2 linked regions of the Mytilus edulis genome follow. The protein of the gene in region 1 interacts with the protein of each later gene in a biochemical or structural test. Links are inferred from orthologs where the notes say so. Each region holds a gene or a part of one and is shown in the gene's direction. Other genes may lie near its edges.

The links.
Region 2: the proteins of E3 ubiquitin-protein ligase MARCHF6-like (region 1) and ubiquitin-conjugating enzyme E2 J2-like form a complex in vitro, tested with the Homo sapiens proteins (2 studies listed by BioGRID, with this or other methods). The link is inferred for Mytilus edulis from reciprocal best matches to the Homo sapiens genes MARCHF6 and UBE2J2.

The regions. Positions count from the first base shown.
Region 1 is NC_092348.1:8,292,960-8,300,232, reverse strand, and holds the start of E3 ubiquitin-protein ligase MARCHF6-like, read left to right. Parts: upstream 1-4,158; 5' UTR 4,159-4,247; coding exon 4,248-4,281; intron 4,282-7,273. Other genes in the region: WD repeat-containing protein 88-like, read right to left, coding at 289-402, 972-1,098, 1,555-1,693, 2,069-2,132, 2,494-2,693, 3,897-3,989. UniProt on the Homo sapiens protein: Endoplasmic reticulum membrane-associated E3 ubiquitin ligase that plays a critical role in mitigating endoplasmic reticulum stress, the regulation of cholesterol and lipid homeostasis, and ferroptosis.
Region 2 is NC_092356.1:26,165,531-26,173,382, reverse strand, and holds the start of ubiquitin-conjugating enzyme E2 J2-like, read left to right. Parts: upstream 1-4,789; 5' UTR 4,790-4,977; intron 4,978-7,501; 5' UTR 7,502-7,502; coding exon 7,503-7,624; intron 7,625-7,852. UniProt on the Homo sapiens protein: Catalyzes the covalent attachment of ubiquitin to other proteins. Seems to function in the selective degradation of misfolded membrane proteins from the endoplasmic reticulum (ERAD).

The DNA.
Region 1 (7,273 bases):
GAAATATAGATGTGTGATTTAAGAACATTATGCTCACAAACAATGGATAAGTATGTATTTATATAATTTTTTAAACGTTTCTCAAAATGTTACACAAGAAATCTAAACAGGAAGTTTTATCTCAGACATGTTGTTTAGGTTTCTTTGGGGGGCCATAGTATATATATATATTTTTCAAACTAAGAGGATAAACACTGAGATGTTGCCTGCTTTTCTAAAAATCATTAAATTTGATGTTGAAAGTCTGATATCAAGGTTTAAATGCAGATATATGGGAAAAGATGTTACCTGTAACTTCCTGTAGCGATATCCCAGATATTAACAGTTTTATCCCAGGAACCAGTAGCAAACTTTCTCTCATCATGACTGATATCACAGCATGATATTATATTGATATGTCCTCTGCAAGAAAAGTGTCAAATAATAAAACTTTAATTATCTATTTTTAACATTTCATACAGTATCATATCATACACTAAGTGCATTTCACTTAAACAAAAATGCTAAAGTTCTGATAACATCATTTTATTTTACTCTGATAAGTACATTCTAATTTCTAATCCAGCCTTACAGTGTCAGAAATACTGTGAATCAGTAAAATGCAAACTCAAGATTTAGTACATTTACTTGGTCACAGCAGAATACTTATTTCAAAATAGATCTTAGAAAATGTTTCCCTGTGCCAAGTCAGGAGCCTGTAAATAGTGGTTTAATTTTGTCCTTTGGGGCATTTTATAGCTTGCTGTGTGGTTAGGGTTTTGCTCATTGTTAAATCTGTACTGTGAGTCACAGACCTCTAGTTATTAACCTACTTTATTTTTAGTCTTTGGTAGAGAGTTGTCTTATTGAATATCACATTACATCTTCTAATTTTTATATAATTTTATCTTAGTACATCATGCTTAGTTCATTTTATCTGTTTGAATTTCTGGTGAATGATATAACAACATTTTACTATAAACAGTACTTACTGTACAGTAATGGTGACTTTTAAAGTCTTTAGATCATAGAATTTGGCAGTTTTATCCATGGAGGTTGTAATAATCTTATCATCTCCAGGAGCAAACATACATTTCGTAATGGTACTGGTGTGAATATCTGAAATAAATACAAATGTAGGTTGAACAAATTAAGCTTGTACCATTGACGTCCATTCACTTAAACCAATCTTATGTTTTGACAATTACTTTAAAATTAGATCATCAGAAAAAAAGCACCAAAGTTTCAAAATCGTCAAAAGAACTGATTCTACCACTGCATTTAATAATTCTTCACTCTAATTTAACATGGTTGAAAAGCCTACATATTGTTAATTTCTTGATCAAAGTAAAATAAACTGAAACAATTATTAGCATAACAACCTTTCATAATAATTGTTTCTTTATTAAATTAATAGATGAGATACTAAAACATCCAGTTTGTTTGTTTGTGAAATTCTAAAAGTAGTTCCACAACAATAGCTGGTAAAAAATTTGGTACCTAATAGATACAATGAGTAGCATACATTTTGCAAAATCCTAATACAGGATTAATTACAAACTTTTTTGTACATACCGTCAACATTATGTATGAGATCTCCTGTATTAGAGTCCCAGATTTTAACCGTGTTATCCAAGTCTGATCCAGAGACCACATATTTCCCATCATGTGAAAAATTACAACTTGTCACAATACCAGCATGTTTTCCTGACCACTGCAAGAAAAATAACGTTTTCATATTTTTCTTCTTTTGTAGTACCTACTCAATAATTGAAATCTTTCAGAAATAGGTTGATTAAAAGATTTTGTATTGATAGACCAGGAAGGCAGAGTGCCTGGAGAGAACCACTGACCTTTAGTAGATTTTGGAATAAGATGGAGATACTTAAGTAGTCCACATTTACAAACAAGATAATAACTTAACTACATTTCTTCATACTCAAAATAAAAATATATTAAATCATAGTGACATTTATCTTACAGCACCTCCAGCTGATTCAGTTTGTTTACTATTATAACCCAGATCGTGGTGACATTTAGCCTTACAGAGCATCCAGTTAATTCAGTTTATTTTATAACCTTAACTCACCACACAATTTCCAGATTCAATATCCCAAACAGCAACTTTCTTATCCCATCCACAACTAACAAATCTGTAAATAATCAATAACCTTAGTTACATTCAATATCCCAACATACAATGGTTAGTAACATTCAATATGATATCCCAACATACAATGGTTAGTAACATTCAATATCCCAACATACAATGCTTAGTAACATTCAATATCCCAACATACAATGGTTATTATGATTGATAGGTATTCCATCACATTTATAAAATTTAGATAAGATCATCATATCTGTTGAAATATTACTAAACTCATAATAATAAATACATAAAATTGAGAATGATATTTAAAAATGCTACAATTTTACTCCATGATTATTCAATGCTTCTATTTTTTGTTATAAATAATGTAACAGATTAATGAATAGATATGCATATGTTACCTCCTTCCATTGTCATTGACATTAGCTTGTGATATAATGCTATCATGACATCTTGTATAGTTATGGAGAACTTCTCCTGTCTCTACGTCCCAAATCTTGATTGTCTTGTCATCTGAGGCAGAGAGGATTTTCTGATCATTGTCAATGTATTTACAACTTCTTACTGAGTCTAAATGTCCACGGAAAACCTTTATTCTTAGCTGAAAAAGAAAATTACATACATGTACATATAAAAATAAGGAGGGCAGTCAGGGGTAATACTTGTATAAGTTATTTTCATTTACTTGTTACTAAGTTCATTTATATTTTCCAGAGTTTAGTGCGACATCTAATTTCACTGAACTATTACACATTTTTGCTTTGGGGCTAACTGAATCTGGCCTCTGGGTGCTGGATTTTCTCATTGTGTTGAAGAACAATTGTTGGCCTTGCACTGTAATCTGCTCTTTGGTCAGATTGTTGTCTCTTTTTTTTAAAACATTCCCCATTTTCATTCTAATATCGCGTTCATTATCACTGAACTAGTATATATTTGTTTAGGGGCCAGCTGAAGGATGCCTCTTGGTGTGGGTGTGGGAATTTCTCGCTACATTGAAGACCTGTTGGTGACCTTCTGCTGTTGTTTTTTTTCTATGGTCGGGTTGTTGTCTCTTTGGCACATTTCCCATTTCCATTCTCAATTTTAATGTGCATATTGTTATGCGTTTACTTTAATTTCTACATTGGCTAAAGGTATAGGGGGAGGGTTAAGATCTCATAAACATGTTTAGCCCCGCTGCAATTTTGCACCTGTCCCAAGTCAGGAGCCCCAGCTGGCCTTTGTTAGATGCTTGTATGATTTTTAATTTTAGTTTCTTGTGTATAATTTGGAGTTTAGTATGACGTCCATTATCACTGAACTAGTATACATTTTTTTAAGGGGCCAGCTGAAGGACACCTCCGGGTGCGGGAGTTTCTCACAACATTGAAGACCCATTGGTGGCCTTCAGCTGTTGTCTGCTGTATGGTATGGTTGTTGTCGCTTTGACACATTCCCCATTTCCTTTCTCAATTTTGTTAACCCTCTTGCTGCCAGTTGTTTTTCAGGGTTGCATTTCATATGCCAGAAAATACAACCGTTCAACGTTTGTGATGGACATGCTAAACAAATGACATCATTCAATATACATTGTACATGTGTGACATTATGCCGACCGTTACATTTGAGAGACATTGTAGAAACTTATAACACTTTTTAATTTTCACTCTTTTATTTTGATAAAGGTACAGCACTGACGTGAAGCTTGCATAAATTAAAACATGGACATATGTGTCCCTCCGTCAGGAAGAGGGTCAAACTTGGAATCTAGCCCAAACAAATTATGTTCAAATCAAATTTTGTAATGAAATTTTGATATCTAAACCTGAGCTAAATCTTCGTGTTCCCAAGTTGCCGTGGTTCGGCCAGCCTCGCTCTCATCTTGTACTATTTCAACTGATAATTCTTCTTCATCCATTGTCCATATGCAATGTTTCTTTTTCACATTTTATAAGTGTGTTTAGAAAATTTTCGCGTCCCTGGTTTCCTATCGGAAAGAAGAATAAATATTGACGTAAAATATATTAATTTAATTTATTTGTATTTGTAGCTTTATTTCAAGAACTATCACAAAACTATCATGAAAATAAAACTGAAATTCTGAATAAAATGTAATTTGACGAATATTATTGTTTACGACAACGACAATCTGACCTTGAACTTTCACAAATCGAAAATGGACGAGCCTCTGGATCCAGATGGACTCTTAGGTGGGTAAAATAAGGATCATGTTTTAATGATAGAAGAAGAAACAATTATATTTTGCACAAATCAAGCTATATGCTTCACATATCATTCAAATTTGGAAGCATTGCTGGTACACTACAGCTTTCTTTCTAAATTTTATGTTTAGTCGGACCAACTCACAAAGGTGCAGAAATTATCCAGCAAAGATTATTTACAGTTTCTTATGTTACATGTAATTAAAAGAAATATTAAACAGTTAAAACATATTAATATGGTTGGCAATACCATTTTTAACCCATGGTCTTGAATATATAATAATATTATGTCATGAATGTGATGTGAAAACATTTATAATGTTAAAATAAGAGATGTGATATTTATAATACACCTTATCGCTATTTGTCTGCCATTACTGGACATCACAAAAGTTCCAGTCAATTTTTACATCATAATAGAAAATATCTGACGCCGCAATAGAAAAGTGATTGTTGAATGAAGTCAAAAGTTCAAGCGGGATTTTTCGAAAGGTATCCAGTCGTTCGGGCCCCAAACCGATCCGGCCCCAAGTCAATCTGGCCCAAGTCGATCCGGCCCACGTCGATCCGTCCCCAAGTCGATCCGGCCCATAATAAAATATGAATTAACTAGATTTTGGAGGAATTTGTCACAAACTTTAACAGTATAAATGGAATTTGAAAAAAGTGTCCGATCGATGATGGATGACAACAGGTCAGCGAAGTATTGGAGTACCAGTTAACGAACTATTTTAAATCCATACGAAAATTAGTGTTATTGTGTCTGTTTGTATCGCAGTTTCTACATTTTTAAATTATGAAGTTATTTTCCATGATAACTTTTACTTTGAATTTCATGGCGATTTTTAACACACAGAATAGCTAAATAAATATTTACAGTCCAATGGACCTATAACATTTATCGCATAATAATGACTTGTTTAATCAAATCATTAGTCTATAATTGGTTTGTTTATTCAACAGTTGTCTGCTGATTGTGAACTAAGGTAATGCCACTCGTAATCACTTAATTCAATCCAATGCTGATTAATTAAAGTTACGTAATCTGTTTTTCAACAAGGTCTTTATAGTTTGATCTTCTGGTTTGGTGTAATTATTTGTATTTTTTTCAGGTTACATCAAAGGCTTCTATAACATATAAAAATATTCTATTCTATAACACTTTTTTTTGTAACATCGGATATGGACCATAATTTGCTATTGGGCTCCGTTTCCTATAACTATAGAAAAGTGATAAAATGTGAATTACTGTAAGAAAAGTTGCAACTACATCTAAAGATGCCATTATTTTTATCAATATACAAGTGTATGCTACTCTTCCCTAGAAAAAAAATTAAAATATACGAATTTCAAAGATTCTACAACCGTATTTTTGTGTCGTTTCTCGCGTTACTTTTTGCTTCCGAAGAGCATAACGCTGACTGATTTATAGATAATCGTCACTGGCAAATTCGTAACTTTTGCTTTCAAATAACAAAGAACATTGACCAATAGGAATAGTGAGAAGAAAATGCCGAGAACTATAAGTATTTATGTAGCAGATGTAAGCAGAGTGGCGTGATTTTTGTGTCCGATTTCGTAACGCAATTTTTAGATGATGTAATCTGCTTTGTTGTAATAGAATTCTTAAAAACAATATGCAAATATGGACTCTTCCGAGATGTTCAAACAGGTAAATCCGAGATGATTTACATTCTTGTTTTGATCTTCGTAATAATTAAGTAAGAAAATTACGTTATCGTTATGCGTTACATTTCACACGAAACAGAAGACCAGTTATTTATTAAAATTGTTTTTGTCCTTAAGTTCTAATCATTTCCGGTCATACATGAAACATGTGACTAACATGTGATAACGTCATTACGGCCGGATGTACGAAATACTAGGTCTAAACATTGTTTTTGTTTCCAACGGGATGTTAGCAAACATAATCTGTAGACTTGTTTCGTCTTGTTTAAAAGAGGAAAATACAATTGTCAAAGAGATTGCGCTGGTGGTCTGTTATTTTTCCTATGTGCATAATGTTACATATGATCCTGTGTGAAAATAAATGCCCAATGACTTGACAAAATCGATTTCATATTTGACAGACGTTAGAACACACTTCGTTTCCCGATAATGACGTGAAGAGTCCTTGGAAAAATCAATCTAAATTACGTCTCTTATCATTGTACCAATGCTCGTTGGATTGATTCAACTTCAGCAGTAAATATTACTGGATATTTTAGGTGAATAAATATAATTTAATAAAAAAATACATGTTAATATACCGTTACACTTGGAATGTACAAAGTTGGAATCTTTGTCACAGTTTTTAATTAATATTTTTTATTCATGTTCTGCAAACACTTATCAGAAACGCAATAAACTTGTCAAAGGAGAAGTAAACTTTTACCATGCATTACTTGAAAGGAAGTACTTAATTGATTTTAGCCCACTAAAGTAGGTTAAAATGTGGAAACCATGTAGATGGTGTACAGGTCACAAGTATCACATTGTGCCTATTTTAAAGATTTTAATTCCAAGTTAAAAGTTTTTTTCTTTACTGGATTTAAAGAATGTTACATTGCCAATGATTTGGAATAAATTGTATATAACTGGAATATCAAAACCAAATATTAAATACATTTTTTTGGCTTAAACATCAAGATACAACGATTATGGTATCCTGTATCAATGAAGAAAATATGGAAAATTCTGAATAAATTGTACTAATTGTTTTCAAAACAAGCACATATTAAGGAGTCTTATAATACTGTTACATTTAAGATGGATTTTAAGAAAAAGTATACTGTTCAGATTATTTTAAGCAGATTTTGCAATAAAATAAAACTAAAAAACTGCTTTCGGTTTCTTATGGTTTCCTGTCAGGTTTAAAAAAACTTTAATATAACATTGAAAATAGATTTTAAATATTAACATGAAGCATACTATGTAACACTAGTAATGGTGTTTATTTATGCCTTTTGAATTATATTGT
Region 2 (7,852 bases), on another chromosome or scaffold:
GCGTTAGCACTGATGTCCTCACGCGCCAAAACAACAAGCGCTACATGCTTTATATTTTCCTCATTATCATTGCATATTCATTTCCAATAATAGAATGTGTTCTCGAAATGTTTCGGACTTTAAAATTCTCACTTTGACAGGAAAAACGTGAGAGAATTCTTATCAAAACTTATCAAATTTCGATAAAAATTACACCATCATAATAATGTTTTGCTGTGATCTAATTTTAGGGCGATTCTAAAACCCAAAACTTGGGTAAATGCCGGATTAATTTCCGTATTTCCTTGTCATTCCTAACCAGTTTGAGCAAGCTTGAATTTTATCCTAGAAAAAACCCAACTCGTTTAATCCAGTCACATATACTTGCTCCGGTCACACAGAAGTTGTCTTAGGTCATATTCAGTTTTAGTTAGAATGAAATTTTAAAAATTGTTGCCATGTTTCATTATATTATCTAAATGATTTCACATTTTTTGATATGTTGTATAATCTTATCACTATTGTTGCTGTTGAAAGTGATCGAACTTTATTCATGTATTTTGTTATTTAGAATGTTAGATAAAGTTAATCTATAGGTTCCGAGAAAGGTTCTATTAAATTGAAAATTAGCCAAGATCCACGATTTCATCAATATTTCTTTGTTTTGTAGCAATGTGCAGTTTACTATCCATATCCGTACGCTGAAATGTCACAGTATGCATGGTTTCAAATCCTATAAAGGGAAGACTAAATTTGCAAATAATCTGTTATTTTTGTTTATACGACTCAAGCAAAGTGTGTCATTAGTGATAATAGCCGATGATAAAAATATAAAAGAAGATGTAGAATGGTTGGCAATTAGACACTGAACTATCTCATGACAACATGCAAAAAAAGTAGACGTAAGCAACTAGTATGGGGGTCTCATTGGGGGGTTCCGATCCCGGATCCCGCTTACTGTTTTGTCAGAAATCCGTATCCCGCTTACACTATGTACGTAAGCAATTCTCATTTTTTTGTCATTTCCCGGGTCCCGCAAGACCTCATTTCCCGTTTTCACGCCACAATAATTTGACTTTCACGTGTCACGCTTATAAAAAAAATAGGCAATCCCGCGTCACGCTTAGACCCCAATGAGACCCACTAGTATATAAAGGCAACAGCACCGTCTTTGACACTGAATGCCGAAAAACCCATACAGTATAGTATGCTATACTATATAAAAAATGAAAAATATAAAACAATTCAATTGATAAAACTAACTTTCTAATGTATAACAAAATAATTTAAGAAAACAATTATAATAGACGTGAACCAACGAATCACAATATTACCAAAGGTTATCCAATGTGAAACGCGAGACCTAACATTGCAACAGAATATTAGAACATAAAGTTATGTAAGAATTTCTAAAATATGATTATGTAAGCTATAAGGTATAAAAGGCATTTAAATGTATAAGATAAATATTTTAAGTGCCAATCATTTCAGTTTGTTTCATTCATAAAAATCCATATCCATTACAATTATATGCTATTTTAAATCATGCACTGTGTATGAACTACATGTACAAAAGAGTTGAGACCTAAATTATATTCCTTATAAGAAAACGTTTCAACAACTAATTGTAATGATTTCACATCAATTTTTTTTAAAGAATGTTGTCTAATTTAATATAACTAGTAGTATAAGAAGTTTAAGATAGAGACAAAGTGTTGAATATGATAGAAGAATAAAATGAAAGATAATATTTTTGTGATGACATAAATTTAGATGTTGATGGCGACGATAATGATGGTTCCAGTATATATACCATGTATACAAATTACACTTTATAAAGTACAAGAAATCTGTTAGACATTCTAATAAAATGTTGCACATTTTGGAGAATTTTAAACATGTTGTGATGTTACACTGACTATTGTTTCAGGTAAGGGTGAAGGTTGGTACCTATTAAAACGTTTAAACCTGCTGCATTTGTTTGCACCTGTCCTAAGTCAGGAACCTGATGTTCAGTGGTTGTCGTTTGTTGGTGTGGTTCATAATGTTTCTCGTTTCTTGTATTTTATATTGAATAGACCGGTGGTGTTCCCGTTTGAATGATTTTACACTAGTATAATGTTTTAAGGCCCTTTGTAGACTGCTGTTTGGTCAGGGGCGGATCCAGCCATTTAAAAAAGGGGGTTCCCAACCCAGGATAAAGGGGGGTGGGGTGCAACCACAGGTTCCCATTCAAATGCATTGATCGTCCAAAAAAAGGGGGTACCAACCCCCTGACCCCCCTGGATCCGCCAATGTTGGTGTCAGTCAATGCTCCGTGTTGAATATATAAAAAAGAAGATGTGGTATGATTGCCAATGAGACAACTATCCACAAAAGACCAAAATGACACAGACATTAACAACTATAGGTCACCGTACGGCCTTCAACAATGAGCAAAGCCCATACCGCATGGTCAGCTGTAAAAGGTCCCGATAAGACAATGTAAAACAATTCAAACGAGAAAACTAACGGCCTTATGTAAAAAAAAAATGAACGAAAAACAAATATGTAATACATAAACAAACGACAACCACTGAATTACAGGCTTCTGACTTGGGACAGGCACATACATAAATAATGTGGCGGGGTTAAACTGTGACCTATATTGGTTTACTTTTACTCCTTGTGACCTGGATGGAGAGTTGTCTCACTAGGCGGCTCTCATACCACATCTTACAATTATTATTGATAGACAGCGTTTTCGGTCTCAATTAAGAGAATTAAAAAAGTGTTTTTCTACGATAAATATTCTTGTAGTACATTCGAGACAAAAGCAGAAGAGCATTGAGTTATTCTCAATGTTTGTCCCACACTAACAGGGATGATCCATCAAAATGTTACCTATGAAAAGAATATTAAGAATGACGGTAGAGCCGAAATTGTAGTCGAAAATAATATTTATTTTCCTCGGACTGCATTGACTATATATTGCAATTATCTTTGCATATGTTGAACAACGACTACTTTTTCTATTCTTTCATAACTATACATTACCACAAAATCATACATGTTTCTTGTAAACACAAACCCGTTACGATATTTTGAAGCAGTTGTAAGGGTTCCATTCTCGACTTTGGCAGTGATAAAAAGATTCAGATTTTTTTTAGACCGCATGATATAGTTGTATATGTTTGCTTATACTGAGTGATCAATTTGTAATTTGTACATTATTTTCTTTAGTGTTTTATGTTCTGATTTAAAGGGGCACTAGCTGTCACTTGAATTCATGTTCACCAATTTGACTCATATACAGTAACTCATATTTTATTTATTATAATGTAAAAAATTTATCCAAATTATAAAAAGTCGAAAATTAACAATTTACGGGGCATGGGCTCGAGAATATATACAGCTTCGTTTTGTGTGTATTTTAGTCAAGACGCCAAATTATTAACTATCGAGTTGACCTACGATCGAAGACGTCCGATTGTTATATAAGCGATACAAACATAAGTATAGATATAAATAGATAAGGGAACTCGTGCAATTGGATTTTTCTAGGTTAATTTCAAATTATAGATTTAAAAATTTATATAGTAATGTTTATCATTGTTTTTATCTGTATAAGAATGATATTTTGTGGATCGAATCAATTAATTAAATGATTTAGCTTTTATTCACTTTCAATGTTGACAGTTCATGCGTTATCCATCTCTAGCTATAACGGGTTAAATTACAGTTCACATGAATACGGATTCAATGAGGTCGAACCATTCACCTACAAGCGGATAAGTCATCATCAATGTTTCTTAACTTATTTTGACAAAATTGAACCACACTAGCAGCTAAAAAGCGAATTATTATTTCACTGTATCACTTTAATTAATGATTGAACAAAAGCAATCATATTTGAGATTTTATAGAAATCTCGTAGTTAGTTTCCCTTTTATGCTTTTATCTTCAAGGATTTGTATAGTAGTACACACATCTTTGATTTATCTTAGTGCCAGTGATCTTTGCATTCATACCGAATATGAGTTATGATCAATTATGGAAAAAAATCTTTTGGTTTTGCTGCTGCTTCTTTATGGAATAGTTTACCAGACCATTTCAGGACTGTTAATAGCTTCTCACATTTTAAGAGTCTTGTTCAGTCCTGGAGTGGAACAGAATGTTTTTGCTCTGCCTGTAGATAATTTGTGTTACAATATTTTATATGCTTTTTATGTTGCATTAACAGCTTGCATTGCAACTGAAATTTTGTTTTTTACATTTTAAAATTTGAAAGATTTGAAATTTTTACTTTATAAATCATAATTTAAAAAAAAAATAAATTTAAACTACAAATTAAAAAAAAAATTAATGCTTCATATATTTTTGGTATTTTGCAAGATACATGTGTATGCTATTTGCTTAGAGTTAATTTTTGGTGCTGCTTTTTATTATTTATTGCATGCTGCATGCCTTGTTTTATTTGTTATTGCATATGTTTTTATATTCGGTGAAAAGCTCATTAGAGCTTATGTTTGCATTGTTTGGCAATATGCCGAATCCAAATAAAGTTTTACTTACTTTTTATGGTGTTAATATGATACTTTTATTAGTTCGGACTTTCTTGTATAGAAAGTCCCTGGTTTGGCTACCAATGCCTTGCTTTCAGATGATTTTTATTTTTTATTATTCTAATGTAATTGTTTTCTCTAAGTCTTTTGACTTATTGTTTATAGTCAACGTAATTACAGGAATAATTTGATAATCACATAAAATCTAACTTTTATTCTTTTGGTGTCAACTTAATCCTTCTTTTATTTAAACAAAATTTCGAGACACCTCGGGATTTTCCCATCAAAATGATGAAAGGGTCTTTTAGTAAAAAATCCTGTAAAAATGACGTAAACAGAAACATTTCATTCATGAATTGTTCATTCAGAAAGTAAAAGCGAAAGCAGCTGTCATTATGTCTATCCAACTTTGATATTTTATTTTACCTTATTTTAATATCACGTATTAATTCAGGTAAGCCTATCTGGCAGAAATCATATTGTGATGATTGTCAAATTATTTTTTACGTGACTGTCACTGTCAGGGACACCTGTTTACATGATAAGGAAGTGGTTTGAAAATCATTTCCCCTCTGGCTCTGCTTGAAACCAAACCACTATATCACTAACCAGACTTTCTCTTTGTAATTTTACAAATTTTGTCAGTGAGACAGCATTCCAACATGTTGATAATTCAGTAGCAATTGGTCTTGGATACGATACAGTGCAGTCTGGTGTATCCGCGCACCTAAGACTTATGCCTTCGCTTCATTCAACTGATAAAACCAATAATTGTATAATATTGTGTGAACACATTCATAACATACTTTTATTTCTGAAAATCTTCTGTTTGTACAGTCAGAGCTCAGACATAAATAAGTCTTAATCTGCTTTTGACTCCTAGAGGTCTAAATTTGTAAGTTTTAGGATTTGTCTCCCTTAAATACAAGACAAAATATGACTTTAATAAGTCGAATATTGTTAAGCAAGAAATAATTGACCAGAATCAAAAAATTGCAAATATCGACTCGGGGAGGCTTCAAGTCGATAAGTTACCAAAAATAGCTAACTTCAAGACCCACGCATATTTATAAAAAGGTCATGCATCTAAATCATATAATGATAACATCAAAAGACAATGCTTTGTCTTCTAAAGAAAAATATGAATGAGAGTCTAAAAAATCGGAGATAATGTTAATTAACCTTATAATGCAACCACCTGGAACCACACTTAATGAGGTAAAACATCTGTGTTTAGTAATGATGTTCAATTAGATAATTAAATATAGATAACTCAAGTCCTTGTGAACTCTCAGACAGGTTTTTGATGTCATAGGTGGTGTACTTTGGCCACCAAGTAAAATTAAGTATTTTCATCAACATAAATAGACCTAAACAAGTCTGTCATTTTCTGACTTAGATGAGTCTAAAATTGAAACATATTTTTATAATAAATACAAGTTATGACTTCTTAAAGTCAAAAACAAAAATAGACTTGTTTATGTCTTAGCTCTGACTGTTGTAATCAGGGATTTCATTATCTTTCATGTTGACTGATACTTTCCACGTTTCTAGGTGGTACTTTTCAATTTATTCCATGAATATCTTATATACAAATTCCTACATTTAGGCGGTACTTGTCAATAGCATAGGAGGATAAAAGTACCGGGTACCGCCTCCTAATGAATGGCCTGGTTGTATGGTTTCACCCTCAAAATTTTGTGACATGTGTGTCCAAAATTAGGAAAACCCCTGTTCTGAGAGTTCCTCCAATGTCAGGTGTTTTCGCGCATGCCTTCCAAAAATAGCCTATTTTTAATAAAGGGAAGATTTTCTACTCCGAAATATAACTGAATTTGAACCAAGCACACTGCCAAGGATTCAGAGCAAAAATTATTTCAATCTGATAAAAATTTGACTTAATTAAAACAAATTTTATACCATTATGTGTTTTTTTTAATGGAAATTGACTAAATATTGTAAATAAAGGGATTGCAGTTATTATTTTACTCTTGAACTTATCAATTTTCATTTTTTCTCCCATCGGAAGGCTAAAACAAGGACGATTCTATTTATGTTACATGTACTTTGTTGATATAACGAAATCAGCTGATGAGCGGTATCACCAGCCGTGCGGACACCGGGGACCTTATTGACAGTTTACAAAAACATGATGTGTCCAATCTACTCTGCAAACTAGGTTATAATTCAGTCTCAATTCCTTATCCCTATATACATGTATATGTACCTTATTGCTAATTGTTTGTCATTACTGGACAAAACTTTTACACTCCTACTACTCCTACACTGTAGATAATTCACATATACTCGCACATTTGTTGTAATTTCACATCGAACGTGTACATAAAACAGTACAGTAGTACTAACTTGGGAGGCCTGTACTATAAAGGAAGAAGAAGAAGAAGAGTCTACTCTCGTATTCGGAAGAAGAAGAAAAATGTTCCCTTAAAATTTTGGCGTCATAATAAAAAATATATCTGACACCACAATCATTTTGACAATGGAAAAGTGATTGTTGTATGATGTCAATAGTTCAAGCAGGACAGATTTCCAAATAGCGATAGGGATATTTGTCCTTCATTATTGGCTTTCACTCTTGCAGACTTTCCCGTAAAATATTGACGTCAATACTGACATTACATTAAAAAAAATGTTTCTTACAGCAATGCATTTGATGTAATAAGAGAAATGTCTGATGCAACAATGCAGACATGATTGTTGAATATTGTCAAGTGCAAAAACAGCAAAAATTTTAATGCATAATTATTACGTCATGTTTATAATGGTCATAATGGTGAAAAATTGAACTCTTTAAGTTTCATTTGAGTATAGCATATATTGAAAATTATCAATGTTTTACATATTTTTTAAAAGTTTATCATGTATTTCATTTAGTTATATATATGTACCCATTAAACCCAAGAAATGTTTTGTCGTATATGCATTTTGTAAAATTATGATCTTATCCATATTTTTAGGATGAGTGGAAAACGTGTCAACAACACGGCAACAGCCAGGCTAAAGCAAGATTTCATGCGTATTATGCGTGACCCAGTACCATATGTCAAAGCTGCTCCACTTCCATCTAATATATTGGAATGGTAATATTGATTATATATCGCACTTAAACATGATTAAAACCCCATTGAAAATTAAATAATTAGTTGTAACAGATGTATCATACTAGTTCCTAGATGTCTGGACTTGAATGGCAGATTTTTAACTATCTCAATATCAATTGACTTGATCAAAGATTTGTCCATCAGTTATAATGCCAGTTAGGACTCAGTGTTCCTCATAGTAAATTCAAATACATGTAGCACAATGGG